Linked DNA regions of Canis lupus familiaris. Each later gene encodes a partner of the first gene's protein in a complex. Links are inferred from orthologs where the notes say so. Each region holds a gene or a part of one and is shown on either strand. Other genes may lie near its edges. The genes, in order: DLG4, SHISA6 and CRIPT.

The links.
Region 2: DLG4 (region 1) and SHISA6 share a complex: the UniProt entries of both Homo sapiens proteins name them as parts of the postsynaptic hippocampal AMPA-type glutamate receptor (AMPAR) complex. The link is inferred for Canis lupus familiaris from reciprocal best matches to the Homo sapiens genes DLG4 and SHISA6.
Region 3: the proteins of DLG4 (region 1) and CRIPT are in contact, whole or in part, in a crystal structure (PDB 5HED), measured with the Rattus norvegicus proteins. The link is inferred for Canis lupus familiaris from reciprocal best matches to the Homo sapiens genes DLG4 and CRIPT. Residues at the interface, in NP_062567.1 of Rattus norvegicus: Gly322, Leu323, Gly324, Phe325, Asn326, Ile327, Val328, Gly329, Gly330, Glu331, Asp332, Glu334, Ser339, His372, Glu373, Ala376, Leu379, Lys380, Arg399, Phe400; in NP_063972.1 of Rattus norvegicus: Lys94, Asn95, Tyr96, Lys97, Gln98, Ser100, Val101.

The regions. Positions count from the first base shown.
Region 1 is NC_049226.1:32,392,967-32,397,372, forward strand, and holds the start of DLG4 (disks large homolog 4), read right to left. Parts: upstream 2,899-4,406; 5' UTR 2,773-2,898; coding exon 2,604-2,772; intron 1,929-2,603; exon of another isoform or gene 1,833-1,928; coding exon 1,734-1,832; intron 1,533-1,733; coding exon 1,492-1,532; intron 610-1,491; exon of another isoform or gene 453-609; coding exon of another isoform or gene 423-452; intron 1-422. Other genes in the region: ACADVL (very long-chain specific acyl-CoA dehydrogenase, mitochondrial), read left to right, coding at 3,114-3,175, 3,252-3,327, 3,600-3,665, 3,754-3,826, 3,908-3,972, 4,083-4,217. UniProt on the Homo sapiens protein: Postsynaptic scaffolding protein that plays a critical role in synaptogenesis and synaptic plasticity by providing a platform for the postsynaptic clustering of crucial synaptic proteins.
Region 2 is NC_049226.1:35,907,759-35,911,399, forward strand, and holds part of SHISA6 (protein shisa-6), read left to right. Parts: intron 1-3,262; coding exon 3,263-3,415; intron 3,416-3,641. UniProt on the Homo sapiens protein: Involved in maintenance of high-frequency synaptic transmission at hippocampal CA3-CA1 synapses.
Region 3 is NC_049231.1:49,891,155-49,895,295, reverse strand, and holds the start of CRIPT (cysteine-rich PDZ-binding protein), read right to left. Parts: upstream 2,869-4,141; 5' UTR 2,759-2,868; coding exon 2,743-2,758; intron 1-2,742. UniProt on the Homo sapiens protein: As a component of the minor spliceosome, involved in the splicing of U12-type introns in pre-mRNAs. Involved in the cytoskeletal anchoring of DLG4 in excitatory synapses.

The DNA.
Region 1 (4,406 bases):
GTCTACCCCCATGCCAAGAGCCCCCTGAAATTGGACGAGACACCCAGAAGCCAGTTTGTCCCTCAGGAGGGAAGAGAACCCCCCCTCACACAGTCCACCTTCTAATGCACAAGAGCAGGACTCCCATGTGAGCCAGGCTTCTCCTTAAATAAGTCTCCCTCAAACATCATTGGTGAACCCCAAAACCCATCAGCCCCCCCAAACCACAAAACAGCCCAAATTTTCCATTTCTCTACAGGTACAAAGAGATCACTCCAGGGGGCACCTGTGGCCAAACCTAGCATGATCTCAAATGTGAACCCCCAAAGTAAATCATGACCCCCCAGTACACTCCCAGCCCCCAGCCCCAGATCAGGCCTGCCTAACCCCTCCCCACAAACTCATACCCTCCCCCCAGTTGAGAGCCCCCCTATCGTGCTTACCTTGGTTGTCACTATACAGAGACAGTCCATGTTGGGGGGGCTGGCCGCGGCGGCGGGTAAGGGGCTCTGACTTCATCGGAGTTTCGTTCCTCCCCTCTGTGGGTTCTCACCCCTCCCCCCTCCGCACCCCACTTTTGCAGGGGGGGCCAGGATGGGGGGAGGGGTGAGAGGGGAAAGAGGGGGTTGGAGAAGGGAAGGGGAGGGGTGCGTGGGAGGGAGGGGAAGGGGGCCCTAGAAGGGAGTCCCCAGTGGAGGGGAGGGGGCCTGGGGAGCACACCCCGATTCTCAGGAGGGGCGGGGGCACCGGGGGCTGGCAGCCCCGGAGTTCGGGGGCTGGGGCATGAGCTGGGTGGGGGAGGGGAACTGGATTTCAGGGAGCCCCGGGGTAGGGGGGGGGTCTTGCCTGCCGGCCAGGGGCTAGGGCCGCGGCGGGGGAGTGGGGTGGGGGGGTTGGAGGCGGCAGCGGCCGAGGGAGCCGTGGAGCCGAGGAGGGAAGGGGAGAGAGGAGGAGAGAGGAAGCAGGGGGAGGGAGGGAGGGAGCGAGGAGCGAGGATGGGGGGGTGCCTTGGCAGAGTTAACTGCTTCAGTGCTGGCAGGAACCCGGATAATGGGAGAGGAGAGCAGAGCGGAGGCAGACAGGCCCCAAGGCAAAGATGGAGGCCTGGCCAGGCACCAGCGCCAGAGATCAGGAGGCCTCCTGGGTCTCAGGAGAGGAAGCACCCGCTGTGGGGCTGGCAGCACCCATGCTAGTTGCAGTGCTGGCTGGCGGGAGGGGGGGTCTGGGGGGGCAGGCAGGGGGGAGTCCGGTGGGGGGGCAGCTCTCCCTCAGGCTGCACAGGAGGAAGGATGAGAAGTAATTCTGTGCTGGACTCCTTATGCCCGAAATTGGGGCCAAGGGAGGAGGGGGGCGGGGAAGCAGAAGGGGAAAGGGACCAACAGGACCGTGGAGTCTGGGATTCTCTGCACCCCGGGCTCAGAAGTCTGTCTTCAAGGCCCCCAAGGGTGGGGCGGCAGCTCGGCCCCTGCCCTGTCTGCCCCTCTGGGGAGGCGCCCCACCTCACCCCCTTACCTGGCTCTCTGAGATGGAAGCCTCATAATAGTCCAGGATGTCTGTCACCAGAATACAGCTGAGTTACCCTCCCCCACCCCACCTGGGGGGGCTCCCCTGCCCCCACCCCTGCCCTGACTGCTGCTGGCACCTTAGGGCCTCCTGGCTGCCAACCGGACAGTCCCCCAAGTGTGTTCACTGCCCTGGCAGGCCCAGGCCAGCCCTTCGCACCCCAGCGTCCCCAGAGAATCAGGGCTACTCACCCAGCAGGGCCTGGAAGAGGTCACTGTGCAGGACAGCCAAGAGAGGGGGCGCCCATCGCAACAGTGGGGGGGCCAGGAGCCAGAGGGCTGACCGGGGAGCTGGTGAAATGCAAGCGAGGGAGGAATGGGATGGGGAAGAGACCCATGGACCAAGGCGCGGCTCACTCACCTCCCCTAGCCTGTCCCCTCTCCCTGGGCTTAAGTGGGGTGGGGAAGGATCAGCAGGAGGGTCCTCAAGTCCCAGCCCCACTCGGCTCCGCCCCCAGGCCTTTCCTCCATGGGACTCTCCAGTTTCACCTCTGGGTCTCTCGGACATCTCTCTTCTCTGATTTTAATCTCCCTAATCCCCAGGGTTGGAGCTGAGCTGCCTCCCCACCAGGTTCCAGCCTTTAGCCTTTAGCCACCGAAGTGGGCAGTCCTGTCCTAACCCCCTGGGTCGCCTGGCACAATGGTCTCTCTTCCCAAAGCCAGGGGTGAGTTTGCTGCACTTTCCAGAGGGACTGGGCACTGGGGACGGGGGTGGGGGTGGAGGGGTGTCCCCAAGGAGGCTCCTGCAGCCCCAGCCCAGGCCTCTCCCCACTGGGTGTGTCAGCAGGGCAGGGGTATACATGACCTATACATGACCTGGGACTCCTTGACCCAGAGCTAGGTGTGTGTGGTGAGAGTGGGCGACAGAAGAATCCCTACAGTTCCACTCCCCCTGGGAAGAGTCCAGGATGTCACACAGTCTCAGGAGGAAACAAGGGCAGAGACTCCAGCGCCCCAATGGGGAGGCGGTGAATTTGCAGAGGGGAAGGGAGGGGAGGGCCCTACGGTGAGAATTCAGGTGTTTCTAAAGTTAGTGACACCTCAGGTCTCAGGAGAATATACCTGGGCCGCCCCACGCCACCATGTCCCTCCCTCTCGTGTTGATGGAGATGGGTTTCACAAGGGACTCCATAGAGTCATCTGCCCCTGCTTCCGCCGTCTTACATTTTTTTTCTCCCACCTCTCCCTTCCAACTCCACCGGGGAAGTCCTCCTGTTGGCCCACCCTCCATCCCTCCGGCTGCAAAAGCCTGAGCTGCTCCTCCTTCCACCCCAGCCTATCCCATCGCCCCTTCCGAGGGCTACACTCGAGCTGGGCCGGGTGGGACGAAGGCGTTTGGGAGAGACGGAAACGTCTGGAGATAGCCCTACGTTAACCAGAATGCAGGGGCGGGGTGGGGGAGGCCCCGCCCCGGAACTACATCTCCCAGCATGCGCTGGCGGCCGGAAGCCCAGCCCCCCCGGTGCATTGTGGACGATGAGTCAAGACCGGACCAGGGCAGCCAGTCTTTGGCAGACGGGTGGACGGCGCTAGATCTGCGCTCAGGACCGCGGCGACCGGAGTGGTTGGGAGATGCAGGCGGCACGGATGGCCCCGAGCGTGGGGCGGCAGCTGCGGAGGCTGGGGGTCGGAAGGTGCGAGTCGGACAGGAGGGCAGGGCCGGGGTGGCAGCGGGACCGGGGACCCGGACTGAGCCCCCGCTCCCCACAGCTCGCGGCCCAGCGCGCTCCTGGGGCAGCCCCTGCCCGGTCCGGCCTGCCGACCCTATGCCAGTGGGGCCGCTCAGGTGAGTGACGGCGGCCTGGGGCGCGCAGAGCGGGAGGCGGAGTCCGCCTCGGCTCCCCCTTCCCCGCCGCCGGCAGGGGTCTCCCTCTCCGTCCCGGACACCTGGCGCCCGCGGTAGCGCCGAAAGTAGGGGAAAGGGCAGGCCAGGGTGCCCTGACGATGGAAGTAGGGGAAAGGTCGCTGCGTCCGCCTCCGCCCGCACCCAGCGCTTCCCGTGGTCTCCAGCTCCTCGGGAGTCCCTTACCGGGCCTCGCTAACTGTCCCTTTCCCCAGGCGGTTCTGGAGAAGTCAGATTCCCACTCCTCTGAGGCTCCGACCAGAGAGAAGCAGGCCAAGGCGGTACGTGGCCTCCATACCGGGAGGACCTAGGCCAGGGGCTCACCCACTGCAGCAGACAGCTCGCTGAAACCCCCTTCTCCCTGAGCAGGAATCCAAGTCCTTTGCTGCGGGGATGTTCAAGGGTCAGCTCACCACCGATCAGGTGTTCCCTTACCCATCTGGTAAGTAGTCGTCGGGGCGGGGCAGGGCAGGGCCTCTCCACTTCCCCGGTGACCTGACCAGCCTGTCCTTCTCCCCCACAGTACTCAGTGAGGAGCAGACCCAGTTTCTCAAAGAACTGGTGGGGCCTGTGTCCCGTTTCTTTGAGGTGAGGAAGGACTGGGGTGGGGGAACAGAGGGCTTTGGTCCCTGATGGGATGGCAGAGGTGTTCAGCAGCCAGAAAGGAACCTGGATGCGACATCCTGTGCCTTCTCCAGGAAGTGAACGATCCTGCCAAGAATGACACGTTGGAGAAGGTGGAGGAGACCACACTGCAAGGCCTCAAGGAGCTGGGGGCCTTTGGTCTGCAAGTACCCAGCGAGCTGGGTGGTGTGGGCCTCTGTAACACCCAGGTGAGGGAGCCCTGGTCACTGCCAGCATCGCAGGCTATTCCAACATTGCTGATTAAGCGCCTTCCTCATGTGACCTAGGGTTTAGGTTTGTCAGTTAAGGGGGGGCCTGTGTGATGTTGACTGTGCCAATATTTGCATCTTTCAAAACAAAAAACATGGCTCTGTTCCCAGTACATAACACCTTTCCCA
Region 2 (3,641 bases), about 3.5 Mb from region 1:
TGTAGAATTTAGGAGCAGGAGCATGGCTCCAAAGGTTTACAAAACCACGCTTCCTTCTCATAACCTCCTCCTGCCAGATTGCAACTTTAACATCTGGAACTGCAGAGGAAAACTATTTTTGGTACCTGCTTGAAACTTGGTATAACATAAGACAGCCATGTAAATTACGAGCTATCAGTCATCCTTCTGTCTTTGCTCTGAAGGAGTGAAAACATCATTAAATTTTAGTGAGAAAGAAACTCAAAGATAAAATCTGCAGCTCGCTTGGCAGAGAGATTGACCACTCTCCTGGGAGATCATGCTCTGCGTCAGCATTGAGGTGTTGAGCATCATAATTAGGACAGAACTGGACTATTCTCATGGCCCCCCCCTCTAGGACTAGGCTCCTAGTGGAAATTTGTGATGAAAGCGATAGTTTAATAAGCCATTTCCGGTTGCGGGATCTGGGATAAACCAGAACTGGAAGACATTGTAGATCAGTTAAGAAGCAGCAGGTTACCAGCAATGATGTGGACGATAGGAAAAGACAGAAGGTTCAGATATGAAACGTGGTGGAGTAGTGACTCGCTGAATATGGCTGATGAGAGTCAACTGTGAATAAAATGCCAAGCTATGATCAATGAGAAGAGTGGGGGTTCTTTGGGACGCAATCTGAAGAGGTAGGAAGGCAGCTAGGGCATAGAGGAGAGGAAGCTGTCAACGGTGAATTTGGATCTGGACCTCTAAAGCTGGAGGGGACCATAGGGTAGTTAAGAAAAATGACTCAGCAGGCAGCTAGAAATGCAGACATGCAGTCTGGAGTCAGGTTACGGCTGAAGATGTAAGTTATGCTTTGGAAGCAGGAACAGATGCCCTGGGAGTTGGGGGGGGGCCCATTTTGTGTGAGAAGGCTGAAAGAGAAAAGCAGAAGGCAGAAGCCGAGAGCCTGGGGGATGCCCATGGTGATGACGCAGCAGCAGGAAGAGGAGCCAGAAGAGGCAAGCGAGGAGTGCTCTGCTTGCTCCTGAACATTCTGGAAGGATAAGTAGCAGCTGGTTTTCTCCAGAAGTGGCCAACACAAGCACAGCCTCCTGAGGACAGAAGGAAGAGCCATTCTTCCCTGTTCCTCTCCCTGTCTTCTTTTTCCACCTGTTACAAGGAGCTGAGGGTAGATAGATCTAGTCCCTGACCTTGAGCAACTCACAGCCTGGTAGAAGCAGAGTTTTCTCTGTATCTGTTTCTTGGAGGCTACACTTTCCCCCAGGAGCTAGCAGAGTGACTATTAAAGGGGAATGTGTCCTGTGTCAACTTGATTAACCAAAGAGCATTAATTGGATCCTTATTAAGGGCCAAACACTATGGAGGCATCAGACCAATTAGAAAGCAAGTTTTTGCTGTCAAGGATATGGCCATCTTTGGCGATCAACAAGACTGGCTCAAGTCAAATGATTAGAGATCACATAGGCACTCAACTGGGTGGGATTGCCTGGAAAAGCAATAGGGGCTTGAAGACCAGATATCACCACGGGCTGAGAAGATGTGACATTGCCATAGCGAAGAGTCTTGAGCGAAGAGAGAATTTGGACAGAAGATGAGTAAGGAAGGGCATGGCACTAGGAGAGAGCGCATGAACAAGAAGACAGGGGTAGTCATGGTGGAGGCAGAAGACAAAAAAGAGCTGGCCTTGGCTCAGCAGCATGAGCTGAAGAACAGTGGGGAGGGCGAAGTGGGGGTTGGTAAGAGCATCCAGAAATGTTGCGTTTGGATGCAGGTGACCTGAGCTGTGCCCTCAGTGGGAATATGATACCAACAGGGAGAGGGGAGCATCATCCTCCCCAGCATCACCAAAAGTGAAGAAACGAGAGCTAGGGGACTAGTGGCTGTTACCCAGCTCCGATAGCAGTGCTCCCAGCTTCCTGCCCACTCCACTTCCTGGCATCTGTCCCGATCCATGCCAGGGAGGCTCTTCTGTACAGCATGTTCTGATCTCTCGGGGATGTAGAGCGTCCCTCACCCCCTCACATATGTACCAAGCTGGCATGAACACCAGCTTATTGGCTGGGCTCCCCTAGCTTCATCTCCAGTATTTGGGGGGACCAGTGAAGGCAGGAAGGATAGAGAAGCTGGGAGTTCCCTGTAGCAAGGCTGCCCTTGGACCGAGTCTAGCGGTGCTCCTCGTTGTCTCCTACTTCACAGAATCCCTGACTTCCAGAGTTTGGCATTCTCTTTGCCAAGAGGCAGGGGAGCCACAGCCTGGCCCTTCTTGGGGGTCCCAAACCAAAGAGGAGGGAGGGACAATGAGAGAGCCACCTGCCTGCCTCATATTGGGGAATGGTACCACTGTTTCTCCAGCAGTACCTGTTGACATCTTGCTGACACACAGCAAGTCAATCAAGCAGCAAGGCCTGCTTGCTTCCTTCCTTCTCAACCACTCCCTTGCCCATACCTGCATCTCCTCTCTTGCCCCAACCACAGAGCCCAGCTCAGCTCATTCACCTCATTATTCATCCACCTCATCACCTGCACATCTTCTCTTCCACTACTCCCCCCCGTCCTCCCCCCCCTCCAGTCTGGCATTGAATACACTCCCTTCTCTCTCTTCAGATTTTGGAATCTCAGGGTTCTAGCTCAAGGGAAGGAGGGAGAAAAAGGAAATTATGTGCTAAGCATTTTGTCTACATTCTTTCCTCCAGTGGCTCAGAGATAGCCAAGGGGCCTTCAGGGGGAGGGCTTGGAGGAGGAAGAAATGGCTCTGGAGCTCACAGTGACTTGTGGGGCTCAGGGCTTGGGGAGGTCTAAGGCAGAAGCGGTGATGTGAGGGATAGAATGACATCATGGGCCATGTGGGATGGAGTCTCAGTGGAGCTGGGGTCCTAGACCCAGGTCTATGGGTCTGTGGACAAGACCAGTCACTCTACCTATTTCAAATTCAGATTTTTCTGAACCTGAGAGCTAGGAGGTAAAAGATGGAACTTTCACACCAAAGTAGACAATTTTATGACCCCCCTCAGCTCTATCAGGCATACGTCTTCATCAGATACAGAGGAGTTTGCCATTAAAGGAAGGGCAACTCCCCAGCATGGCTAAAACAGCACCTGCCACTAGGCTTGTAGACAACTGGAACTGGGTATGAGGGAAACTGAGTCACCAGCACCACCTGTGTTCTAGCACAGTGGCGGGGGGGCCAGGAAAGCAGGATGAGGAGAGATAGAATCTGGACCTTCCTTGGCCCTGCCTGCCCTTTGTCCTGGCTAATGCCATGCACCCCTCCCTTCTTTTGCAGAGAAGCCACGGATGAACAACATCCTGACATCGGCCACGGAGCCCTATGACCTCTCTTTCTCCCGCTCCTTCCAGAACTTGGCCCACCTACCCCCATCCTATGAGTCAGCAGTGAAGACCCACCCCAGCAAATATTCATCCCTGAAGAGGCTAAGTAAGTGGGGGTTTCTCGGGCTTGGGCTTTGCCTCTGGGCCCTCTGTGGCATCATCCTATGTTTTTCTCTCCTGCTCTGCACCTGAGGGGACAGACGTGGAGTGCTGAGAATAAAGAATGAGGTATAGCTTGGAAGAAGAGGATGGGAAGCCCCTGTGTTTGTTCTTTATGGTGGCCTGAATCCATCTGCCTACAAATCGAATAGAAGCCACAGAATCTTGGAATC
Region 3 (4,141 bases), on another chromosome or scaffold:
ACAGTTTGAAGAGAAAGGAGCTGGGAGGGGATCACATTAGTTTAACTCAAGAGTGATGGGGACCTCAGGTAGGTTATTTAAGGGGTAAATGAGAGGCTAGGGAAAATATGAGCTATTGAATGGAAGTAACAATAGCAGGACAGGCAAGTGTTTGGATGCAGGTTGACAAAGGGATACCAGAACGAATGAGCGATGAATAAGGCTTTATGAATGGGTGACTGGGAGGACTGCCATGCCATTAAATGATGGAAGAGAAGTTACAGATTTATAAAGTAGGATGACAAATTCAGTCTTGGAAGTACTATACTACTATGTAACAACCAGATGAAGGGTCCCAGTATTGTCTGGAGAAATTTCTTCTATTGGTCTTGGTATAGAGAGAAGTCGGCTGGAGATGTGGATTAGACATTCACTGGCATGGATAAACTACTTGAAGCCAGATATTTCCAAAACAAAGAGTCAAAAGAAGGGCAGATGTCGATCACTGGGAAATATCTACTTTAAGGGAGAGGGAGAATAAGAAAACTTGGAGATTATAATGGTAAAGAAGAAGAGAAGTAAATTCAAAGAGAATCTAGATCAAGTTTCAAAGTCACAGAGAAGCAGAAAGGGACTGAAAGAAAGGTCTTTGAATTAAGAGTCTATTTTTATTTGGGGAATAAGATGGTACAGAAGGTAGAAAGGTACTAGAGCAAAGAAATAATACAGACTTTCAGAAGTGCAGAGAAGTAAAAAGCAAATGACCTTTATGACATATATCACGTCCCAGAGCCAAACTATGTGTATTTTAACATCACATCCGATCTTGGCTTCTCAAAATTTTTATGTGCCTTAGGAAATTACCTCTCAGAATTTGCCCAGTATCCTCAATTTTCCTGGGAAAAAAGCACTTATGGTGTAAAGAACATCACACAAAACAAGTTAAGCCCGTCAGAATGCCAGGCCTCTAAAGTTAAAATGTACCGAATTAACACAAATTACAAAGAAGGCTAATTTACATGTTTAGGAACTACCCTACATAAGAGAAAAGACATGGAGAAGGTGCATAACCTAAATATATGTAAGACATAGTTACTCAAACAAGCAAAACCAAAAAACCTCATAAGTATTGGATGGAGTAGAGTTAAAAGGACGTCAATGTCAAACAGCTTAATGTACTTTTTGGAGCAATGAAAATATTCTAAAATTGATTGTGGTGATGGTCGCACAACCCTGTGAATACGCTAAAAATAACAGAATGGCACATTTTAAATGGGTGACTTCTACCTATGCCAATTGGTAGAACTGCAATAATTTTTTAAAAGCTTCATGTGAGATGATGATGTAAAGCATAGAAAAATGAAAATATCAGTCCCACTCTACTCCTCATAAAATGGAGCAGAGTTTAATGCTGAGTGCCACATACTGGGAGTTATGATAGGAATAACCAGTTTTTGAGTATACACTAAGGCACTTTTATATCAGGCTTTACCTGCATTATCTAATTCTCACAAAACCCCATAAATTATGTATTATTCTCATTTTTCAGAGGAGAAAACTGGAGCCAAGAAATATTAGGTAATTCACCATGGTTATTCCTTTACATAATGTAAAACCTGTGATTCAAACTCATGGGTGCCTGTGTTTAAAGGTTTATCTACTGGGGGGGAGGGGAGAATATAAACAGAATTGATCAAGTTAATGTTAATCCAGATAAGAGGACTTGAAATCTTGTTAAGAAAAGTCTAGCCTGAGGAAAAAGAGACTTAGGGATATGAGAGCCGTTTTAAAACATATAGACAGTCTGTGACATCAAAGAAATCCTAAGATACTTTCCAGAAACATCAAGGGTTTGCATTAGAATCACTGCCTGGCAACTGTAGGGATGAAGGATCTTTTCTTTTCTTCTTTCTTTCTTTCTTTCTTTCTTTCTTCTTTTTTTCTTTTCTTTTCAGATTTTATTTATTTATTCATGAGAGACACACAGAGAGAGCCGTAGAGACACAGGCAGAGGGAGAAGCAGACTCCATGCGGGGAGCCCGATGTGGGACCCCAGGTCACGCCCCGGGCTGAAGGTGACACTAAACCGCTGGGCCACCCGGGCTGCCCAAGAAGGAACTTTCTAAAAGCCAGTGGCATCTACGCAGACTGTTTTGAAGGTAGTGAGGCTTTCTGAACCCTGCCTCAAGACCTCAGATATTCATGCAAAGAACATTTAAGTCAACATTTAAGGATGCTAACTTCGGGTTGCTCGTTAAAATACAGGATGCCCTGTTCAATTTAAATTTCAAATAAACAATGAATGGTGTTTTAGTATTGTCATGTCCTAAAGGTAAGCCCAAAGCACTTTCAGTACTAAGAAGCTGCGAGCAAAGACAAGTCTCAAATATCGCATGGGATATACTTCTAAAAAAAGTATTCATTTTTAAAATGTCTGCTATATCTGGAAACTCTGGGTGTTGTAAAAATGACTTTTAAGATCCATTCCAATGCTGAGGGTCTGTGAGGCTAAGGAGCCAGTCAAGAGCTGTATGGGATGAAATCCCGGGGTGGGGCTGGGGGAGGCAAAGGAAATAGACAAATCAGTACAAAACTGAGAACACTCCGAATGCAAAACCAATGGGAACGGTGAAAGGGATAAAGGACAAAGGCTGGAATCAGAGACTTGTGGCCGAAAGAAAAGACAAAGAAAAGGCGAAGTCCCCGGAGAACTCCTGCTAGCTTCTCCTGGCCTCCTCCCAAAGAGTCAGCCCCTTAACTCACATTTTTCGCACACCATCCTTCCCCGACGGTTCCCCCGGCCGCAGAAACAGCAGCAGCTCGAGAATGTCAACACAACAGCCGGGGCAGACGTCCCCTTCCGGGTTACGAAAATCCGCTTCCGGCCGCCCCGCCCTCCGCCCCGCCCACCGCCCCGCCCACCCCACACCTGAGAGGCCGTGGGAGGCGGGGCTTCTCCCATTGCCCGCCCCTCCGCTCCTGCAATTGGCTGTGCCGCCTTGGGTCTCCGCCCCACAGGCTTGCGCCTGCGCGTTGGCCAGGGCGGCGAGTCGTACCTGATGGTGGGAGGTGGTAGCTCGCGCTCCTCTTCCGCTGGCGGGAGAGTTAGGTAAGCCCAGCGGCGCCCGCCCGGCACGCGAGCCTCCCGGGGTGCCAGCGGCCCCCACCCACTGCCCACGTGGCCGCGAGCGTCTGTGCCCCCGGCCCGCTGGCGCCCGCCGCCCGCCCGAGGGCCACCCTTCCGGCGTGACCCGGGGGCAGCCCCGATGGACCCGGCCCTCGGATCCGTCCCTGTGTGTGGCGCCCTCCGTTCGTCTCGGTCTCCGCGCCCGTGCCCTTTTGCTTATGCCTCTCAGCGCGGCCCCGCCCCCGTTCACACTGGCGCGGGGTGAGGCTCGGGCAGAGTCCCGAGCGGCCGAGGTTGGCGGGGGGCTGCAGGGGCAGGTGCCGCGGGTTGCGCGGGTAAGCTCCGCAGCCTCCGGGGCGGTGGGCGCGGGCCGGGTCCGACCGCGGGGGCGGGGGCGGGGGCGCGGGCGCTGGCCGCCGGGGTGTGCTCGCCAGGGCCCACCCCCGCGGCTGCTTTCGCGGGGGGGCAGACCTTTGGCCCACCCTCTTCTCCTCGTTCGTTCGTTCATTCATTCAGTAAGCAGTTGGGTGCTGCTCCGTGTATTAGAGCCTCATCTGCCCATATCACTTGGGATTCTGAGAGCGGCCCAGAAACATACCCGAAGGGATAGTCCGCTCAGACGGTGTATTCCGGATCCTGCGCCCCTGCCCCTTGGTCAGCGGATCTGCCAGAGAGGTTTCCTTCCTCCCTTCTTGCTCTTCATCCCCTTCTCGGCCCCTGGAGTGTAGATTTATGTCAAAGAGGCGAGGGTTTGACGTGGCTATAGTGCTTGGGAGCTTGGGACCTTGGACATGTCTCCCAACGTGCCTTAGCCTGTTTCCTTATCAGTAGAATATTTGCCTTGGAAAATTATAATGTGAACTAGATCAGAGCTGTAAAGATAAGGCCTTGACTTGCCCTTTTGTTTTTCTGGAATATTCAACCACAGTGTAACATGGGTAACATGTGGACTGTTACTTTGATATTAGCCAGTACTATGTATAAGCTCTGCGTTAGGTAATTTATAAATAAACATATATGTTATACATACCACGA